Linked DNA regions of Lytechinus pictus. The protein of the gene in region 2 interacts with the protein of the main gene of each other region in a biochemical or structural test. Links are inferred from orthologs where the notes say so. Each region holds a gene or a part of one and is shown on either strand. Other genes may lie near its edges.

Region 1 (7,672 bases), on a different chromosome or scaffold from region 2:
ATTGACGATTTAACAAACACATTAGTTTTGTAAAATTAAAGGCAAGACTAAGTACATAAATATTGGGTGGAATGAATTTCCAAGGTTTAAGTTGAATAATCAAAGCCAAAGTATAGTTGGCAAATTATAAAGTGGGCCTATTAAAGTGGCAGAACACTATATACGCTCTACCAGTCAGCAAAGTGATACAAGTACTGCCCCGTTTCAGATCTGAAAAGAACAGAACACAAGACTTAAAAAATGGTAACTCTGCAGTTGGCAAATTCATGAAGACAAGTCTACAACTTGTAGACTTGTCTACAAGTTTGCAGTTGGCAAAAAACACCAAAATGTTCTAAGTTATTTTTACTAAACTTTTTTATTTTATTTATGGTGTCAGAAGGTGCTTAGGATGGGGATGGGTGGGAGTGGGGGCAGGTTGGGGTTGCATCATTCCTGGTGCTCGCATTGTCTGACTAATGAGATATATAGTCCTACCCTTTTTACACAGGATTTTCTTAGCCCCGGACTATCGCTAACCCCTTACTATCCTTAACCCCGTACTATTTTTTTTCCTTTTTACACATGCCAAATTGTTATTGCTAACCCCGGATAAGGAATGCTTGCTTTTCACACACGAAACTCGCTAACCCCGGACTAGTGGTTTTTGTCGATCATTCGTAGTACAAGTACTTCACTCGTACCTTTTTACACACGCTACAAGGGATGGTCCGGGCTGAAAGTATGTATAGCTTAATAAATAGAGCAGAATTCACTGAGCAAAATGCCGAAAATTTCATCAAAATCGGATAACAAATAATAAAGTTACTGAAGTTTAAAGTTTAAAGTTTAGCAATATTTTGTGAAAACAGTCGTCATGAATATTCATTAGGTGGGCTGATGATGTCACATCTCCACTTGTTCTTTTGTATTTTATTATATGAAATTAGGTTTATTCAATTTTTTTCCTCAAAGAACTAGAAAAATTGGATTGACAACTGATTTAGTGCATTAGATATATATTGCTGCAACTTAATTCATTATAAGGGAGACATATTATTCACACAAGTATTAAATATTGAAAAAATTATGATTTTATGTAATAACATAAGAAAACGGAAAGTGGAGATGTGACATCATCAGCCCACCTAATGAATATTCATGACGACTGTTTTCACAAAATATTGCTAAATTTTAAACTTCAATAACTTTATTATTTGTTATCCGATTTTGATGAAATTTTCGGCATTTTGCTCAGTGAATTCTACTCTATGTATTAAGATAAAAATATTTTCAGCCCGGACCATCCCTTTAACCCCGTACTATAGGTGGGGCCAAATTGCCATTTAACCAGTGGCGTAGCTACGGGGGGCCTGGGGGGGCACGTGCCCCCCTGAGATTTGGTGTGCCCCCCAGGTGCCCCCCCCCCCCCCCCCCAGAAAAAATTGGCAGAGCAAAAAAAAAAGGAAAGAAAAAAGGGAGAAGAAAAGAAAAAAAGGAAAAGAAAAAGGAAAAGAAGAAGAAAGACAGAAGAAAAAAAGAAGAAGAAAATAAGAGGAGGAAGACGAGTGAATGAAATAATGTAATTAAAAAACAAATCTTTTTATGTTACTATATAAAATTTTTACTGGCGCTTCGCGCCAGAATTGCCTGTTCGATGAGATTCATATCTTGCTCAATAGGCTGATATGGAGCAAGTTTTGAAGTCAATATGCAAAACATATTTTAGCTCGACATCGAGCTTTCATTATTTTTTTTTCATTTACAAATTTAAGTGCTCTGTAAAATGTCCGTTTTATGGTCTACATATATCAGCATTTTAAGCTCACGCTGCGTGGTCACATTGTTTGATTTGCGAAGTTCATATTGTCTACGTGTATTCCATAATGTTCCATGTAACAAATGTATTCAGAATGCCCAGATTCTAGGTCTACATCTACAACACGCGCGATAGCCTGCATGTTCTTTATTTAAAATGTACATGTACTTGAATTATCCAGTTTCACATCAGAATATCAATAATTGTCTGCTCACGCTTCACGATCGCATTATTAATGATACCCAATTGACTATATCCTATTTATGATTTACAAAATATGAATAGAATGTCCCGCTTTGAGGTCTAAAATCTCAATTTTCTTCCTCTCGCGCTTCGCGCTCGCATCAATTGTTTAGTTACATACCTATCCCATTTATTAATACAAAAAGTGCTTAGAATGACAATTTTTTAGGTCGGAATGTAAAAAAAAATTTGCTCGCGCTTCGCACTCGCATTATCGAAATATATACCGTCTTCGTGGGTAACTGTAAGCAGTCCGTAACAGGTCCCTTTTCGATAATGCTAGAACAGTTGATAAAAATTTATGTTCGCGCTTGGCGTTCGCAGTAGCCATCTAGTTACATACGAATCTTGTTCAGGATCACACATAACATTGCCCAGAAAATTAGATTAAAAATACATGAGAGTAAAAAAAAAATCGCTCGCGCTTCGCACTCGCACTTTTTATCAGGCTTATGAGATTATTTCATGTTTATGTTGTTTTATAAGAATAAAACTAAGAAGTGACTGATATAGGTGAAGATAATTTCGGGCCCCGTCCCCTATTGGCGAAAGTCGGATCCGCCCAAAGTTGTGACACATACACACACACACCGGAAAAATGGTCGGTGCCCCCCCTGAAAAAGCAAGGACCCCCAGTGCCCCCCCGGGAAAAAAATCCTAGCTACGCCACTGCATTTAGCCCCACCTATAGTACGGGGTTAAGCTTAGCCCACTTTCGTTTTACACTAGCGATCTTAACCCCGTACTATCGCTCTTAGCACCGCAATTGCTGGGATAACCCTGCTTTTTTGCAGGGCCAAATAATCCCGTACTAAAGGTGGGGTTAGCCCACTTTGCAAAAATGCTGTGTAAAAAGAAAGTGGGCTAAGCTTAACCCCGTACTATAGGTGGGGCTAAATGGCAATTTAGCCCCACCTATAGTACGGGGTTAAGGAAATTTTAGCGTGTGTAAAAAGGGTATATGATTATGCACCAAACTCGCACTCCTCGCACTTCAAGTTATCATTGTTTTATGTAGTGACATATGCTTTTTTCATGACTATATACTTAAAGTGATTTAAGGCCTTAATAAAACATTTCCAGTCTGTGCTTACGTTCGCATTGGTGTGGACCGATATAGATACCGGCCGGGCTGGTGTTAAATCACCGGCGTTTCTGCAGTGCACGAATTCCTAAAGACAGTCCTTAAAATGTCCCTTTTTCTGATCTAATTATAACAAATTTTCAGCTCGCGCTTCGCGCTCGCATTACTTAATTAGTGAAATAGTAAATTCCTACAAACAAGCCATAGAATGCCCCTCTTCAGGTCTGAATTTCAAAAATTGTCAGCTCGCGCTTCTCGCCCGCAATATTTCATTAGTGAAATACGTATCATGTTCATGATTACAATGACCACAAAAAGTGCTTCATGTGCCAGTGTAATTCTAACAAAATCAGCAAGCGCTTGGCGCTCGCATTAGATGACTATGATGAGATACGTACGCACTTCATAAATTCCAAAAGATAGTCCTGAAAATGTCCCTTTTTAGGGTTAAGTTATACAAAAAATTTCAGCTCGGGCTTCGCGCTCGCATTGTTTGTTTTGAAGACAGATACGTATCATGATTACAAAACTTTGCTTATAATGTCCCTTTTTAGGACTGAATACCAAACATTTTCAGCTCGAGCTTCGCGCTCGCATTATTTGATCACTAAGATACATATCCGTTTAATGGCACAGTCCTTAAAATGTCTCTATATCAGGTCAGTATACCTGGCAATTGAGCGCGCTACGCGCGCCCACTTAATGACTCTAAATTTTTGCTGGTGCCCCCCCCCCCCCCCCATGCCGTGACCCACGGTACGCCACTGTTAGCAGTAGCATTCTTGAAATTTTAGTTGAGACATCTTGCACAGAAGGTCAATCAAAAATTAATAAATCTTTGATTTTGATATTATTAATGCATAGGGTATATCATTATATACTGCAAGTTAGCAACTACGGCACACTAGCCTTTCTATTTTGATCCAAAATGTTTATTTTTAAAGTGCAAATATCTTTGTATATCTTTGTATATAATTTACCTTAAAGTATTCACCAAATGCCACTAATTCAATTCTAAAAATTCAAAATCTTTTAGCAATTGATTATTGTAGGGGGGGCACATCCCCCATCAGACTCCCCCTGTGCTCACGTTGGCGCTGTCATGCCAAATTTAGTTGGCAAATTTAGCTGGTACACCCCCCCCCCCCCCCAACAAAATGCTTCTGGCTACGGCCCTGCAATTCAGGCCTACATTAATTATTTTATCGGGCTATCTGATTTTGATGCAATTCTATAATTATAATGCCTGTTTGGTTATGTTTCCTCGGTTTATTCATGCAATTCAAATTGTTTAAGGCTGCCTGAAATTAACCTCTTTTCTAAGAATACGAGAAATCCGATTATCATCTCTTCCCAATGCTGTGAAATTAACTTCGTTAGAGATGATTCACTTTTCTTGTTACGTTACGCAACTATAGTTACTACAGCAAATCACATGTTGTGTTCAAGCGAATGAGGGCTCTGTGATGTAAGTTCTTTCCGTATTGCCTGTATTTGGCAATATGATCATGACGTCGTACGCGCTGTTCGCCAGCTATCACTTCAACAAGTGTAGCTCGCACGCCCGTTTCTTTTGCCCTCAAGGTCGCGCGCGTGCGTGAATGGTAATTTCGTCGTACCGTACCGTACCGTAGATTCGATTGCAATGCAGTTTGCAGAAGATGCACGTAAAATACGCAAACTACAACAAATAGACAACGAAAAGGCTAATGAGTAACGATTCCATGATCAAGTTCCACTAGATTCTGGGCATTTGGTGCCTTTGTTTACGTTATTTACAATCTTTAGAACCTGTTTACTGTATAGTCGCAATGGCATTAAAAAGAATAGCAAAGGTGAGTTAGAATTTACAATCACAATTCACACTTTTTGTTTTGGACTTTTTTTTTCTGGACGTGCAGTTGCAGTGCATGGAATGGATCATGAATGTTTGTGTGTGAATCAGGATGTTCAGAATATGTTCTGCACTGCAGATGCAGTGTAGATCTATTCCAAACATGAATTAGACAAGGCCCTGTGTCTATAACTTACGTTTAGTAATATAATGTGTATCACTATCATGTGTATAATCCAACTCCAAGGGAGAGTGAGTAAAACTAAAAAGAGACGAGATCTAAAATTTAGTAAAAAGTAAAATCCCTAGTCGTAGACCACTCATCATGCTCATTCAACAATGAACAAACAAGGTTAATAATAATATGAATTATGATTAGACTCAGCTCAGCAGGCGATGGTTCATGATCATGTATGATGGTGGGCCCCAAGTCTGCGCACCTAACAATTTGAGTTAAGATTTAACATGAATTTCCTTTTTATTTCACAAAATCTTTGGTTAATAGTGTTCCTTATATTATTAAGAGTAAGTGTACCAAATTTCTCATTAAAAAATGAAAGAAAATATAAGATTTTCTTGAAAAAACCTCGGGCAGTCATTTTCAGATTGAAAAAAAAAAATGGTACCCCATGTCTGCGCACTCATTCACTTTGCACACGATTCGGGGATTTTGATGACAAAGGCTGCATTTTGAGGCCGTCACATGAAATGCCCTGAATTCATTATTTTTCAACCATTTTGAGTCGGATTTTTTTATGAATACCTGTCTATGTATTGCATGTGTAAAGATCGTGCTCGTTGCGTATCTTCTTTTACTAGAATCGCGCAGATACGCGGGTGCGCAGACTTGGGAGACCGCGCAGACATGGGGGAACTGACCATACTATAATGTAGGCTCCACAACACTGCACTACCGCTACACCTAACCGAACCCTCGGGCCACAAATACTCGCTCTCAAAAACTAGTAACAAACTGTCACTTTTTGCTAAGACTTTAATTTTAAGAGAAGCAACACGTCATTTTAAAAAAAAGTCTAAGGCTAAGCGTACTCTACTACGTGACTAAAGTTTAAACATAATTTGCGCACATTTTAAGAATTATGAAGTTGATTTTCAATCAACAGTTCACACAAAATTAATCAAAATCATAAAGTTCTACCAGTTGGAAGGCAAGATCCCAAAGTCAAATTCGCTTGACGGAATTATAAAGTAGGTCAAGGGTTTCGCTCGTATTGCGATCTCAAAATTCCATGGCGATCGACTAGTGCGCGCTTGGATGAAAAAGTGTCATAAAAAATTGTGACCTTAATTTGCGCACGATCGTTTTGCAAAGCTTTGGAAAATAAATCAAGCAGACAAAGGTAAGATAATTAGGGGAGATTGGGGTTAGTTGGAATATTTTTGACAAAAATGGCTGTAAAGTCCAAAGAGATTTTATTCAAGAAACAATATATCAGCTTTAAACATAGAGGCTACAAATGTACCCATAAAATTCTTTAAAGGGATGGTCCGGGCTGAAAGTATTTATAGCTGAATAAATAGAGTAGAATTCACTCAGCATAATGCCGAAAATTTCATCAAAATTGGATAACAAATAACAAAGTTATTGAATTTTAAAGTTTAGCAATATTTTGTGAAAACAGTTGTCATGAATATTCATTAGGTGGGCTGATGATGTCACATCCCCTTTTGTTCTTTTGTATTTTATTATATGAAATTATGTTTATTCAAATTTTTTTCTCCAAGAACTAGAAAAATTGGATTGACAGCTGATTTGGTGGATTAGATATTTATTGCTGCAACTTATTTCATTATAAGGGAGACATATTATTCACACAAGTATGAAATAATGAAAAAAAATGATTTTATGTAATGACATAAGAAAACAGAAAGTGAGGATGTGACATCATCAGCCCACCTAATGAATATTCATGACAACTTTTTTTACAAAATATTGCTAAACTTTAAACTTCAATAACTTTATTATTTGTTATCCGATTTTGATGAAATTTTCAGCATTTTTCTCAGTGAATTCTACTCTATGTATTAAGATATAAATATTTTCAGCCTGGACCATCCCTTTAACTCTATGAATGGTTACTGAAAAAATCCACCTTGAACAAGACCATCGCAAGTGTTCCAACTTACCCCCATATAAGGGGTAATTAAAGTTGGACCACTGCATGGTCAATTAAGAATTATACTAAAACTACTACCCGGTACATGTACATGATGTTACATGTAGCTTATTTGCTTATTTTTCATGTTCAAAATATTAAAAGTATTTATTCTGATTTGTTGAACTTGATGTTTTCTATTACACATATACAGCCACTCACACAAGCCGACTGTGTATTAAAATTGTGCATATTATTTTGTGTGCGTTTGATTTTACAAGCATTTAAGTGTATCAGCAATTTCATGTACTTTTGCACCAAATTTACATAACATTAATCAGATAATTATTTATACAATTTAGTTTTTGTCTCACCTGCATAGCAGAGTGAGACTATAGGCGCCGCTTTTCCGACGGCGGCGGCGGCGGCGACGGCGACGGCGGCGGCGACGGCGGCGGCGGCGTCAACACCAAATCTTAACCTTAGGTTAAGTTTTTGAAATGACAGCATAACTTAGAAAGTATATGGACCTAGTTCATGAAACTTGGCCATAAGGTTAATCAAGTATTACTGAACATCCTGCCTGAGTTTCATGT
Region 2 (7,988 bases):
GGGACTGGCATCTACACGAAATTATTTTACTTATGTTTTCTTTATGTTATGAATTATATGTTTTTAGATAGGCAGATCCCTGTGGAAGACCAGCGATTTTTGTTAATGAAGGTCTTAATAATTGTATATATTGTGTAATTTTGCATATTAAGTTGTACAACGCTGAACAGGCACTTCTGGTTAAAGATTTGAAATAAATAAATGAATAAATAAATTATTTTCGTTTTAGTCATCATATTTTATGAAGTTCACCGTCCCTATATATTTCCAATTTCCAACCTTTATGTTATACAGTACCCAGATTTTGCCCAACAAATAAACATTGCAAACCATATAGTAATATATGATTAAATTAGTTATTATGTATCAGTGGATTTTTCCTTGATATGCATTCCAATAACATATCATAATCATGATAATTATAAAACGTATATTAGCTGAAAATAATCCATGGAACCATTTTTGAAATACCTCTACAATTTCAGAATACTTTAACTCTGCATTGGAATTATACTGCAAAGAATGACGAATATGACCTCGAGTTTGAATAAACGGTAGATCAGTTAGAGATGTTTCTTCTCATATACAAAGCATTGGCCCGCATTGGCGCAACATATTGTTGGTGAGTTTAAAAACAAGCACATGAACCCCTATTACTTGATGTTTACACCTCGTAAGTATACTTTCCTCTCCAACTTTGCAAATTTTGGTAAAAATGACATATGCGTTTTGGAAAAAGTGTAGCATTTATTGTACTTCGCAAATTTGTTACAGAAATTTCAAATTTGTGAGATAGCTATTGTGAATTGAAGGTGCTGCTAGCATTAAAAGGGCAATCAAATAACAATGTGAATAGATTATCCATCTTAAGTATACAATTTGAATTATACTGTGATGAAATTTACAGGGATTTTGATTGAATTATTTAAACTCAACGTGAAGTCTGAAAATGTCCAAACCCTGTGAATACAAACTTCAAATTGGGTGAGCTGATAGCAAAAAGACAAGCACATGAACCCATTTTATTATTATGGTTTTTTTTTTGCATATTTGGAATAATTAGGTGCTGAAGCTTAAAATGATTTCATTTTAACTGTGGAACGTCCTTAAGGACTATTTTTAGAAAAGGAATTCATGATGAAGAGCATATACATATCGATATCTCGCCATCGTCATTTAATTTGAAGAAAGAAAAAAAAATTGAGCGTCAAGCGCTCACTGCTGATTTTTTAGATTCACACCTAAACACATATGAAGAACTTTTGTAGTCATCTGTTGCGTATCCAGCATCAGATCCTATTATGAAAGCATCATGGGCCCAATAATGAGGGACAATAGTGACTGTATCATGCTTTTGCACGGGCCCATACATTTTCTTTGTCGTAGTTGATGCTGGATACGCTGGTGGTTGTAATCATGAAGATGATACGTAGGCCTATTTCACTAATCAAATATTGCGAGCGCGAAGCGCGTGCGCGTGCTGATACCCGAACTTCATGGTATTTTAAGACTTGTTTGTAGGAATTCATTATACGTATTGCACTAACCAAAATAATGAGAGGAAATATATTTGGTGAATATTTACTTGAAAACGAGACCCGCCCCCCCCCCCCCCTATTGGCGGAGCAAAAAAAAAGAAAAAAAAGGGGGAAAGAAAGAAAATAAAAGAGGAGAAAAAGAAGGGGAAACATAAAAGGAGGAAGACGAGTGAATAAAAAAAGATGAGGGGAAGACTTGGAAGAAAATTTCAAAAATTTTCATGTCACTATAAACAATTATCGCTTTTTGGTGATTAACATATCTTGCTCAATATGGAGCTTAAAATATCAAATTTTGAAGTCAATTTACAAAACACGTTTCAGCTCGGAAATCATTATTTTGATTGATTGACATTTATTTTTTAAAAGTGCTCTGCAAAAATTTGTGTTTTATGGTCTGAATATTAACATTTTATGCTCGCGCTGCGCGCTCGCAGAATTTGTTTTGTCAGATACCTTTTATTTCCCGGTATTCCATAAAGTTCTCGAAATTATCCCTAATCAGTTATATGCATATCTCAGTATTCATTCTATAACAAACTACTTAAAGGGATGGTCCAGGCTGGAAATATTTATATGTCAATAAATAGAGTAAAATTCACAGAGAAAAATGCAGAAAAAGTTATTGAATTTTAAAGATTTGCATTATTCCTGTGAAACAGTTCTAAGCATGTCTTCATGAATATTCATTAGGTGGGCTGATGATGTCATATACCCACTTGTTCTTTTGTGTTTTATTTTATGAAATCAGGTTTATTCAAAAAAAAATCTACCAAGAACTTAAACAGTTGGATCGACAACTGATTAAGTGCATCAGTTTTTATTGCCGCAATTTATTTCATCATAATGGAGACACATCATTTTCACATGTGTGACAATATGAAACATTTGTGATTTCATGTAATAACATAAGAAAAAGGAAAATGGGGATATAACATCATCAGCCCAACTTATGTATAATCATGACGATGTGCATAGAACTGTTTTCACAAAATATTGATAAAATTTAAAATTCAATAATTTCCATATTTGTCAGTGTTTGTTATCCGATTTTGATGAAATTTCAGCATTTTGCTTTATGAATTTCACTCCATTTATTTAGATATAAATATTTTCAGCCCTGACAATCCCTTTAAAATCCCCATTCATGACAGTTTATCTAAAATTTCGGCTCACGATTTGCGCTCGCATTGATTGTTGAAAATATATTAATTCATGCATCTTATTCATAAAGTGCTTTAAATGTCCAATTTTCAGGCCATAATATTAACAGATTTCACGCTCTCACGAGGCTTATTAGATTAATAAATAAGATATTAATTTACAAATCAAATTGTCTTTTTTCAGAAAGGAATTTCAACAAGTTTCATCTAGCGCTTAGGAAGAGAAATAGGAAGATAGTCATCATTTTCATATGACGACATAATGTTCGTAGAATGCCCCGGGTCCTATGTCAAAACTCAAAGTAAAAATAATGAAACATATCCATGATATCAGCTCTTTTTTAACTGTGATCCATATCCACCTCACAATTTTCCTATATACAAAGTGCTTGAAATACAGAGCTGAAATTGACAATTTTTCAGATCGGAATATCAAATATTTTAAGCCATCGCTTCGCGCTCGCTTTTCATCCATTCAATGATCTTACCACATCAAAATAAATTTATAACTGTTTAATCCAAAGTCAAATTGACAATTGTTGTGAAGTATGGGGTTTACGATTTATCACACAAACGAATAAAAATAATAACACTTCAGAAACTTGCTGCCAGAATATAATACTCAAACAGAGCTCACGTCCTCAGCCCGTCTGATCAATAAAAAAAAACTAGAATGGTTCTCCTATCACCAAAGAGTAATGTATTTCCGATGTATATTAATATTTTAGAGTCTAAATAATTTATCTTCCGATGTCTTTAATGATAACTTTAAACAAGATCTGCCTCCAACCTACAACTCGATGTCCCAAAATGCAATACTGATACTATAAATACTCATTCATTATCTCCTCAATATATCAATGTTCAATTCCTTGCCCCTTCATTTAAAAACCATATCCACCCTCTCTATTTAAAAAAAAAAACTCAAATCATATATTATGTCCGGTGTTACAAATATTTTAATGACTCCGACTTTGCATGCCTTTCTGTATTCTAATATGTATGATTTATATAATGTTTTTACTTTGTATATTTTTATCACTTGTATATAGGCCTACGTGTTTTTTGTAATGCTTTTAGGGCCCCTTTTGATACCAGCCTTTGCTGACAGGGCACCCTATGGAAATATTATTTGAAGAAATAAATAGGTAAATAAATAATTGATTTTCATGATTGAAAAGGTATTTAGAATGCCTAGATTCTAGGCCAAAATCTGAAACACGCGCGCGTATATGCATGTTCAGATACGCAGCTTGTTCTCTATTTAAATTATTATCCAGTTTCAGATCACAATATTAAAAAAAAATCTGCTGGTGCTTTGCGCTCGCATTATTGATGTAGGAAGATTTCCAATTACTCATCCTTTTCATGATGTACCAAACATGAATAGAGTAGTGTCCCATATTTAAATGTAAATCTCGAATTTTTCCGCTCGCGCTTCGCTCGCATTTATTGTATATACTTATCCTTTTCACGATTGCAAAAAGTGCTTAGAATGTCCATTCTTCAGGTAGAAATGTCAAATTTTCAGCTCGCGCTTCGCGCTCGCATTACTAGTATTTGATTGTTGAAATATGTAACGTCTTCATGGCTAACTGCAAGCAGCCGTTAAAGGTCAAGTCCACCTCAAAAAAATGTTGATTTGAATCAATAGTGAAAAATCAGAAAAGCATAATGCTGAAAATTTCATCAAAATAGGATGTAAAATAAGAAGATTTTCACAAAATAGTTATATGCACAATTTAGTCACATGCAAATGAGAGAATTGATGATGTCCCTCACTCACTACTATAGTATTTCTTTTTTTTTTTTATTGTTTGAATTATACAATATTTCAATTTTTACAGATTTGACAATAAGGACCAACTTGACTGAGCCATAAAAATTATGTTAAACAATGGTAATTCCACATGTTCAGGGCAAAATAAAACTTTGTTTCACAGGAAAATGAGGAGAAAATAAGAATATTTCATATAATAAAATAAAAAAGAAATAGTGAGTGAGAGAGTGATGTCATCAGTTCCCTCATTTGCATACTGACCAGGATGTGCATATAACTATATTTTGTAAAAAATTAAGCGAAATTGAAAATGTCATAACATTCTCATTTTCCATCCGATTTTGATGAAATTTTCAGTGTTGTGTTTGTTGGATATTTCTCTTTTTATTCAAATCAACGTTTTGTTGGGGTGGACCTGTCCTTTAACAGGTCCCTTTTTGATCAACTAATTTTTTCATCAGGGGATTTTCGAACTCGTCAGCTGTTCTACTCCAGCAGACGATTTTTTCCAGAATAGCTGAGCGCGCTTCAAAAATTTCACGTGTTCGCCGGCCACGCGCGCGCGATGTATTCGTGTGGCCTGGCCTGTATTATTAAAACGACGTTATCATTCATGGTTATAAATTATGTTTTGTCACTTTTTATGTGATTTACAATATTTCAACGTGTCATTCAAAGATGGACCAGATCCTTATATCAGTCAGGCTCATTCAGTCTCCAAGGTTGGGTAAATTTTCCGGAAATGTAGCAGAAATGAGGATGCCTGTTCACGCGACGCAAAGTGGGGCCGAGATACGAGACGAGGTTGCTCGTCTCTCGGGACAGTCCCCCGCAGATATTCGCCTGATATTCGCTGGGAAGTTGATCACTGATGTGCAAACAATGGAGGTAGGCCTAACGTTAGATTAAGTGTTTAGAACTTTAGATTCTAAGTTACTGCGCCTGAATTAATGATTGAAAGAATGAATGAAAAGACGCAGATCCGCACAACGTCAACCAACAAAAAGGGTGACCAGGTCCAGGGTGGCGTTTCATGAAAGGACTTGTGACGTCATGTCAGAAGTTTTATCCGACAAGTCCCATTTTATCCGACAGTTACTATAGGAACAGTACCTCTCAGCCAATCAAAATCAAGGAAAGATGTCAGATCTGACAACTTGTCGGACGAAAATGTTGATGAAACGCTCCCCGGATTTCACAAAAGTCAAAAAGAAATACGTTATACGGGAGTCACAATCGACAAAGCACGCTGCACGAGCGGATCGACCAAGCCAGGCCTAGGCTTAATGAAAAAGATCAACAAAGAAGGCTAAAAATTAGAATTGTAAAAAAATATAAAGAATCGGAAGGGAGGATGAACGAAAGAATGAAGGAGACAAAGAAAAGAGATGAATTGAAAAGAAAGAAAGAAAAGAATAAAAGGGAAAGTGCAAGAAAAAAAATTAAAATAAAAGAAGGATAAAAGAAAGAATAAAAGAGAGAAAAATGAATAAAGAAAGAAAGGAAGGGAAGATGAACGAATGTGTGAAAGAAAAAATAAATGAGAGAAAGGAAAAAAGTAAGATAAAAGGAGGAAGAAAGAAAGAATGATGGAAAGAAAAATGATTCAGAAAATGGAAAAAGGAAAGAAAGAAGAAAAACAAGTAAAGTAAGGAAGGAAGGGAGGGAAAGACAGAAAGAATAAGGGAAAATAATTAGAAGGAAAAATTGAAAGAAAGAAAGGATGAAAGAGGGAGGAAAGAATGAAGGGAGGAGAGAATAAAAGAAGAAAATAATGGAAGGAGAGAAAGAACGAGAATAAAAAGAAGGAAGCAAAGAAAAGTTGAAGGAAGGAAATAAAAAAGGAAATATAAAAAAGAAAGAAGGAATTAAGAAAGAAAAATGAACATAGAGGGATAGAAAGGATCAGGAAAGAAAGAAAGATAAATGGAACAAAAAAGGGCAAGCAAGAAGGATAGGATGAAGAAAGGATAGAAAAGAAAGAAAGAGGAAAAAGTTCAAATTTCAAGCAAACAAAAAAGTCCAATCATCTAACAAAAATCTTAATAGCCTACCGGTAAAGGCGGTATTTGGTGTTTTTTAATATATATTTTTTTGAATAAAAAAAACTAAAATGTTTCAGAAATGAATAAAATTTCAAAGCAAAAAAAAATTTAAAAATTAGATGAAACATCGCGGCATCACACACAGGCATCTCTTCCATCCCATATTACAAGCTTGCACCGATCACAAGAAGACTCAAAACGAAAGCTGAAACAACATAGATCTGGTTATGAAAACTCAATACATCACCAAATCAGTAATCTGAGAAAATCAATCCATAATATAATTTAAAAAATTCCTGCCGATTTTGTGATTATTTTGGTGGAAAACTGTTACCAATATCATGTGAGATTGTTTGCACCATTTAGAATCTGCTCCGATCCTACATGCCGAGCTAGTAGCCACACACAGGCAGGAGGCCAATTCGTTTGCAGTGTAAGCTTCAAGTTTCAAGTTTAATTTTATTGATTTCAAATCCAAACATAAAGGATTACAATCCTTGGGTTAGCAAGAAAATCACCGCAGAACTTGCAAAAGTTTACAGTTATCGATTTTATAGTTGTCTTTGCCTTGTCATCTGTTGGTTATTTCAAGAAAATTCTTCACTTTTAAACGTATTAACTTTATTTTGTTCAATATTCTGAAATACGGGACAAATATGCGTCCCGGGAAGGGTCTGTCGGGACGCAGAGACAAATGAGCAAAATACTGTACGATACCGGGAAATACAGGACGCCTGGTCACCCTGACGCCAATGGCTCGAAAAGGGGGCTCGGGTACTACTGGTTACCCTGTGAGTGACACAGAATCCTGACATCGAGGCACAAACTGGACCCTCAATAAAAGGAAAAGTTAGACCTCTATGTCGAGTTATTTCTCGGTATCGATCAGCCTTTTTTACTTTTGTTTTCAATTTTGAAAGGAGAACGAACGAGACAGAACTTTCCCTTTTTTGAGGGTCCAGTTTGTGCCTCGATGTCAGGATTCTGTGTCACAATAGACCTTTATCTATATAATCGAGGTAAGTGCATAATTTATTTTTCCCCTTTTTATTTGGGGTGCTATTGCGACCCCATTCTACCCCATTTTGGAGAGCACTCTGCCTAATATTACACGGACGAGTCCTGGGCTCCGACCCGCTTTTCTATACAGATCTAGAGTCTGCAGGGCTTCGCGGGCCGGAGCTCCCTGGGTTAGGGTACTGCCTGGTGCACTCAAGGGTACATGCCGCTGCACACAGAAAAATCAAGCCATACAAAATTAGAAGTCGTGTGTTGTGGACGCCAGCAGTGACATCCAGCATACACGACCCACTCACCACTGGCCTGACTGGCACTACCACTAGATCTAGTTTAACAATTAAAATCCTCTGCCAAACACGGTTCCTTGTGCGAGGTTAGTTCTAACCTCGCACAGTGGAAGGAAGCTGGAATCTAGACTAACTTAAATATTAGGGTCTTTGAC
Region 3 (6,921 bases), on a different chromosome or scaffold from region 2:
CATCAATCTTGGATTCTGCCAAGGCAAGCTTATTAACTTCAGCAACCTCCTCCTTCAGTGTATCCATCTTGAACTTCAAGGCTGCCTGTTCTTGTCTAAACAAATCAACAATACATTCGAGCCATGCCTGCTGCCGCTTTTCGAATTCTGCGAACCAAGGAGGGGGAGTATTCTCCACAGCAGCGCCAGAGCTAGCGGCAGCACTCTCGTTGTTGGCATCGTGCAAATCTCCCAAAATCTCTAAGCGATTCTCACTACTCAAAGAAGGTCTTTTCTTTACAGGTGACTCACCTGGATCCCTTGGGCTTTGGTGTTTTAGGTGACTCATGATGTTTAACAGAATATATCTAATGACAAAGGTCTGTGAAAGTGTAAAATGAATAAACTAAGGCTGAATATAAACAGACGTCCACCGTGCGAGACTCCTCAGCGTGCCGCCATATTCCGATCCCAAAAAAACCCACTTATTTTTGTCTTTTTTTTTTCAAACTGCATGGAGCCTGAAATAGGTCTGAAATGTTTTGATAATAAACGATGATCGAAATTGGATTTCTGTTAGCGAATTGCAATACTAGTTGAGTGACTTTCTGTACCACCAGGAACAAGGAAAAATTTATTGCCATTGGTTAGACCACCATCTTGACTTTTATCATGGAAATTAGTTGCACAGCCATATAATTAAAACCATTTTTTAACTGGTTTGGGCTGAGGTTGGGCAAATATTTTCAAAATCTAAATGAATAAAAAAAACAAGGTAGCAGGAACCAAGCAATCAAGCACTTATTGTAACAAGGGTTTCATTAAAAAAAAATTGTAAAATTTTTGAATGAAAATTCATTATTCAGTTTTTGTCTCACCTATATAGGCGCCGCTTTTCCGACGGCGGCGACGTCAACACCAAATCTTAATAATTTATAATTGAAGGTTCAGTTTTGAAATGACAGCATAACTTAGAAAATATATGGACCTAGTTCATGAAACTTATACATAAGGTTAATCAAGTATCACTGAACATCCTGCATGAGTTTCACATCACATGACCAAGGTCAAAGGTCATTTAGGGTCAATGAACTTTGGCCGAATTGGGGGTATCTGTTGAATTACCATCATAACTTTGAAAGTTTATGGATCTGATTCATGAAACTTGGACATAATAGTAATCAAGTATTACTGAACATCCTGTGCAAGTTTCAGGTCACATGATCAAGGTCAAAGGTCATTTAGGGTCAATGAACTTTGGCCAAATTGGGGTATTTGTTGAATTACAGCCATAAATTTGAAAGTGTGTTGGTCTAGTTCATAAAACTTGGACATAATAGTAATCAAGTATCACTGAACATCCTGTGCGAGTTTCAGGTCACATGATCAAGGTCAAAGGTCATGTAAGGTCAAAGAACTTTGGCCACGTTGGGGGTATTTGTTGAATTGCCATCATATCTCTATAAGTGTATTGGTCTAGTTCATAAAACGTGGAAATAAGAGTAACCAAGTATCACTGAACATCTTGTGCGAGTTATAGTAGTTTTCAAAATCAGCACTGCTGCTATATTGAATCGCGTGATGCAGGTGAGACGGCCAGAGGCATTCCACTTGTTGTATATTTTCTTTTATTAAAGGTCAAGTCCACCCCAGAAAAATGTTGATTGGAATAAATAGAGAAAATCAAACTAGCATAACGCTGAAAATTTCATCAAAATCTGATGTAAAATAAGAAAGTTGACATGTTAAAGTTTCGCTTATTTTTCACAAGACAGTGATATGCACATTTCAGTGGCATGCAAATGAGACAGTCGATGATGTCCCTCACTCACTGTTTTTTATTGTTTGAATTATACAATATTTCATTTTTTAAAGGTTTGACAATAAGGACCAACTTGACTAAACTATATGGTATTAAACAATGCTAATTCCACATGCTCAGGGAGGAATTAATCGTTGCTTCACTTGACAATGAGGAGAAAATTAGAATATTTCATATAAAATACAAAAGAAATAGTGAGTGGATGATGTCATCAGTCTCCTCATTTGCATTCTGATCAGGATGTGCATATAACTGTTTTCTGAAATTAAGCAAAACTTTAAAATATCATAACTTTCTTATTTAACATCCAATTTTTATGAAATTTTTAGTGTTATGCTTGTTGGATTTTTTTCTTTTTATTCAAATTAATTTTTTTGGGGGTAGACTTTTCCTTAAACAAAAACTGATTACATGACCAATTAGTACTGATTGCGATCAATTACTTTCAAACACTTATTCACTGACACTTTAACAATTCTAACTTTGAGTATCCTCCTATTTCATGAAAATAAACAATAAATTCATGGTTATAAATCTTCTAAAATTTATTAAAAATTGAGTCATAAGCTTTTGGAGTGGATTTTTTCAAAATGAAAATTTGGAAAATGATTTTTGTGCAATCACATTTTGTACCAAATGCCTGTGTTTAGCTTTATTGTCTCATTTACAGGAATTGCAGATTTTTGGTAAAGTTGAATCATTCAAATGTTGCTGTAATTTTGGTATAAATAGGAAGTGAATACTATCCACTTTCTCAAATCATGGACCATAATATAAACACTTCTTTACATAATAATGTAAATGGATAAAAATATATGGCAAGTGAGGTATAATCAGTAATCTTTCTAAGTTAGTTGTATGCCCTAGGCCTAAACAGTTATGTTGTGGAAGATATGAATTGAAAAATATGCTTTACATTACAAATTTGTGATTTTACATGAAAATATTTCTATCATAAGAAAAAAAACCCACTCAGTTTTGTGATTTTTTTTTCTTTTTTATAACACCCATTCCAAAGCACGGAATGGGGTGAAATTTGCTGGATAAAATCTCTGTCTGTATCTGATATTAATTTAGATTGTGTAAGATGAATGTAACTCACAGTATTTAGTGCTCAAAGAACCCCTTTTGAAGAAATAGAAACATATTGCTGAGATAAAGCACTAGATATCTTAGATTTGAATACAGTGTGTTTGAATTTGACAGAGAATCTGCAGTTGCGAAAAGATTCAACGGCTGCAACACCTCTGTAACATTGGAATGCTAGGATAGATGATTGTATTGTATTGTATTTATTTTCCATTCATAAAAACATGCAAAATACAAACAAAATACATCAGATATAATTACAAAATAAAATGAATACATATGAATGGCTGGATTGCCCATTCAGAGTGGTAATTTTTACCACTCTGTTCTGCCTAGGGGTCCAGAACATAATAAAATAGATCAGATTGTATTATAAACATCATTAACAATAGAAAAGAACGACATTAAACAAAATATAAAGTAATGAAAGCTAGTCAGTAGACATAAAACTAAATATAAAGTTACGATTTCAAGCTACAAGCAAATACCCCCCCCCCCCCTTCCCGGCAAAACAATGCGTTGCTCAGATATCAATGTACTTCGAAACCTTAGAGCTCAAAGAAGTAATAAATGTAGTTAAGTTTTTGATAAATTTCATATCTAAAGGTAAGTCATTATATAGGCGTGAACCTCTATATATAAACATTCTACGGCAATTTTCTGTATTTGGTTTTATGATACTTACGTATGACCATTTACCAAAGCTTTGGCCAGGCTTTAAATTGACAATTTCCCCTGCATGGATAGTGTTTTAAATAAGTACTCGGTCACCGTCGAGGGCCAAATCAGTGAACCTTATATTTTAAGCTTGACCCTAACCCAAGTGGCAATCAGGGAAGCATTTCATCAATATTTTCGTCTGACAAAATGTTCTATTTAGTTCTCATTTAGGACGACATTCAAGTTTCAACTTCTCATTATTATCGTTGCAATGTTGTAAATATTCATTTACAACTAAATCTATTGGAATTATTAATTTGTTTACTGTTTGTTTATCTCTACCTTTCTACAACTACCAAAAATAGGAGACACAGCGTCTCAATACTGAGCCTGTACCAGGAATAAAAGCAACCCCAGATGAAGCAAATTGCAGACTATTCATGGTGACAATAGATGGACCCAAAGATGTAAGTATTGCCAAGGAGTGGAATGCTACTTCATGTATTTTCTCACTTTCTCTAATATGGTAAAGCCATTAGGTCTCATCCTATTACATCTATGACCAAATTGTCAAATAATAACTTGGTCTATATTTGCCTTTCATTTAGAATGCCTTGTCATCTGCCTGTATGATAATTCCGAATTAATTTTTACTAATGATTATCTTATTTATTTCTCCCTCTCTCATCAGTCTCCTTTTGAAAATGGGACTTTTAAACTAGAACTTTTTCTTCCTGAAGAATATCCAATGGCAGCACCAAAAGTACGGTTTATGACAAAAATTTATCATCCTAATGTGGATAAATTGGGACGTATCTGCCTTGATATACTCAAAGGTAAGTACAACTATTTTACTAATAAATCTGCATGCTTTTTTGTTCATTTTTTTTGTCTCCCCTTCCCCTGGCAAAATTTCATAGTATACTTTGTATTTATGTGGCTACATCATTATTGTATGCACTCTAACTGCCCCATTTTAAAGTGATTTCTTTGGAATTAGTCCAAAGGTGTATCTTTAAAACTGAACCTTTGGTGAGGCTACCATCAGCATTTGGTCTTTTAGAGGTTACTGTGGAAGATTTGTGTACACTCTTAAGACTGCCTTTCTTGACAGATTACTGCAAAATAGAGGTGTATCGTGGTGTAATTTAAGATGCTGCCACCAGTGTTCTGTTGTTGGTAAAAGTTCATATCGTAGATGAAAAATGTCATGGGGAGATTATTTACCCTCTTATGAATATCAGTGCCAGCGATTGATCCTTATCTAGAGCTGCAGAATGTGTCAAACTGAAATATTGTAAAAACAAGGGATCACATCATTTTTGTCTCGCCTGCATTTCAGAGCGAGACTATAGACGCCGCTTTTCCGGCAGCGGCGGCGTCAACATTGAAATCTTAACCAAGGTTAAGTTTTTGAAAAGTCATCATAAGAAAGTATGTGGACCTAGTTCATGAAACTGAGATATAAGGGTAATAGTGTATCACTGAAGATCATGCCAGAGTTTCAGGTCACATGACCAAGGTCAAAGGTCATTTAGGGTCAATGAAATTTTATGATGTTGGGGGTATTTGTGAATTTGTCATCTTAACTCTAAAAGTTATATATATTTCATGAAACTTGGTCATAAGAGTAGCCATGTATCCCTAAAAATTCTGTGCACATTTCAGGTCACATGACCAAGATCAAAGGTCATTTAAGGTCAATGAACTTTGGCCATGTTCAGGGTATTTGTTGAATTGGCATCATAACTTCGAAAGGTTATGGATCTCCACATGTAGTTCATAAAACAGACATAAGGGCAATCAAGTATGAATGATTGTTTTGCACACATCTTAGGTCACATGATCATGGTCAAATGTCATTTTTGGTCAATGGACATACTGGACTGTGGACATAGTATTTTATTATCACATGACTATGAGTTAGTTCTTTTGTGAATAAAAAATTATTAAATATCTGTTTTCAAAGTCAGCACTGCTGCTATATCGAATCACGTAATGCAGATGAGACTGCCAGAGGCATTCCACTTGTAGTTTAAATTATGAATAGATTTGTTAATTGATGACTATACAATATACATTCCATTGTGAGGGGAGATATGTCCTGGATCACTTAATTATTCTCAATTCATTGACATTAAACTCTCTTTTTTTCAACTCACATATTTTCTAAAGCTCTAAACTCATCTACACAGTTAGAGTGTGCTCTCATTATTCTTGAGGGAGTATCATTGTCTTTTATTTAAGCAAATTGTCAGCATTCATGCTTTCTTTATCAGGTAAAAAAAATCACCACCATATATCAAAAGTCAATCGAGTCACTCCTGCCTATCCAGTAATCTGGTGAAGACATTTTGTTTAGAAATGAATGATCATTGAGGCAATTGTCTTGGTGGTGTATTTCGGTATATGATATTTAATAGTCTCAAGGTTTGAAAGTATTCAGTGTAAAAAAATGTACATTAAATGGCAGGATAATCCTTCTTTGATGTTTGCAGACAAATGGAGCCCTGCTCTTCAAATCCGAACAGTGTTGTTGTCAATTCAAGCCCTTTTGAGTGCCCCTAACCCTGATGACCCATTAGCAAATGATGTTGCAGAGAGTTGGAAGTTAAATGAGGCTCAGGCAATTAAAACAGGTGAGTATTTGAATGTCTCATGCATCTCATACCTGATTATTGAAGTGTCGCATCCGATTACTTCAGCCCCCTTGCCACTCAATTCAATTTCCAAGTATGCAATATCACAGAAATCTATTAAAAGAGATCAACCACTTACTTAAATAACTAAGCTATACCTGAATTAGAATGACTAAATACAAGAAATTTTAAGTCCACTTCTATGGACTTCAAGTCAATTGTTCATGCAATCTGTAATGATGATAGTGAATAGCTGATCATCTAAGATCATCCCATACAAATTGAATTACATGTATTACTATTAATATTTTCCATCATTTCCCAGCTTTTTCTACTTTTTAGCTCATCTGGCCCTTGCTGTGGCGTGGTGTCTGTCGTCTGCCGTCCGTCCACAATCAAAATGCTTCTTCGCTATTTCAAGTCCGATTTCAATTCTGTTTGCTTTATATGATAGCACTAGGTGGGGGGATTCAAAACTTCTACACAGAATTTGAAACTCAATAAATATGCTTATTTATGCACACTTTTATAAATTCACAAAAAAATGCTTCTCCTTCTTTATTTGTTGACAGATTTTGAATTTTTTGCTTCCATCTGGTAGAGCTTGATGAGGTTCACCAAACTTCTACACAGAATTTTGAAATTTTGAGTAGAACAATTTTTATGCTAATTTATGCGTATTTTTAAAAATTCACCTAAAATGCTTCTTCTTTTTTAATTGTAGACCGATTT

The links.
Region 1: the proteins of E3 ubiquitin-protein ligase parkin-like (region 2) and ubiquitin-conjugating enzyme E2 D1-like form a complex in vitro, tested with the Homo sapiens proteins (3 studies listed by BioGRID). The link is inferred for Lytechinus pictus from reciprocal best matches to the Homo sapiens genes PRKN and UBE2D1.
Region 3: the proteins of E3 ubiquitin-protein ligase parkin-like (region 2) and ubiquitin-conjugating enzyme E2 N form a complex in vitro, tested with the Homo sapiens proteins (6 studies listed by BioGRID). The link is inferred for Lytechinus pictus from reciprocal best matches to the Homo sapiens genes PRKN and UBE2N.

What each region holds. Positions count from the first base shown.
Region 1 is NC_087262.1:4,913,015-4,920,686, reverse strand, and holds the start of ubiquitin-conjugating enzyme E2 D1-like, read left to right. Parts: upstream 1-4,664; 5' UTR 4,665-4,936; coding exon 4,937-4,960; intron 4,961-7,672.
Region 2 is NC_087248.1:10,161,570-10,169,557, forward strand, and holds the start of E3 ubiquitin-protein ligase parkin-like, read left to right. Parts: upstream 1-4,967; 5' UTR 4,968-5,159; coding exon 5,160-5,369; intron 5,370-7,988. UniProt on the Homo sapiens protein: Functions within a multiprotein E3 ubiquitin ligase complex, catalyzing the covalent attachment of ubiquitin moieties onto substrate proteins. Substrates include SYT11 and VDAC1.
Region 3 is NC_087247.1:55,175,298-55,182,218, reverse strand, and holds the start of ubiquitin-conjugating enzyme E2 N, read left to right. Parts: upstream 1-3,913; 5' UTR 3,914-3,990; coding exon 3,991-4,017; intron 4,018-4,241; coding exon 4,242-4,386; intron 4,387-6,048; coding exon 6,049-6,189; intron 6,190-6,921. UniProt on the Homo sapiens protein: The UBE2V1-UBE2N and UBE2V2-UBE2N heterodimers catalyze the synthesis of non-canonical 'Lys-63'-linked polyubiquitin chains. This type of polyubiquitination does not lead to protein degradation by the proteasome.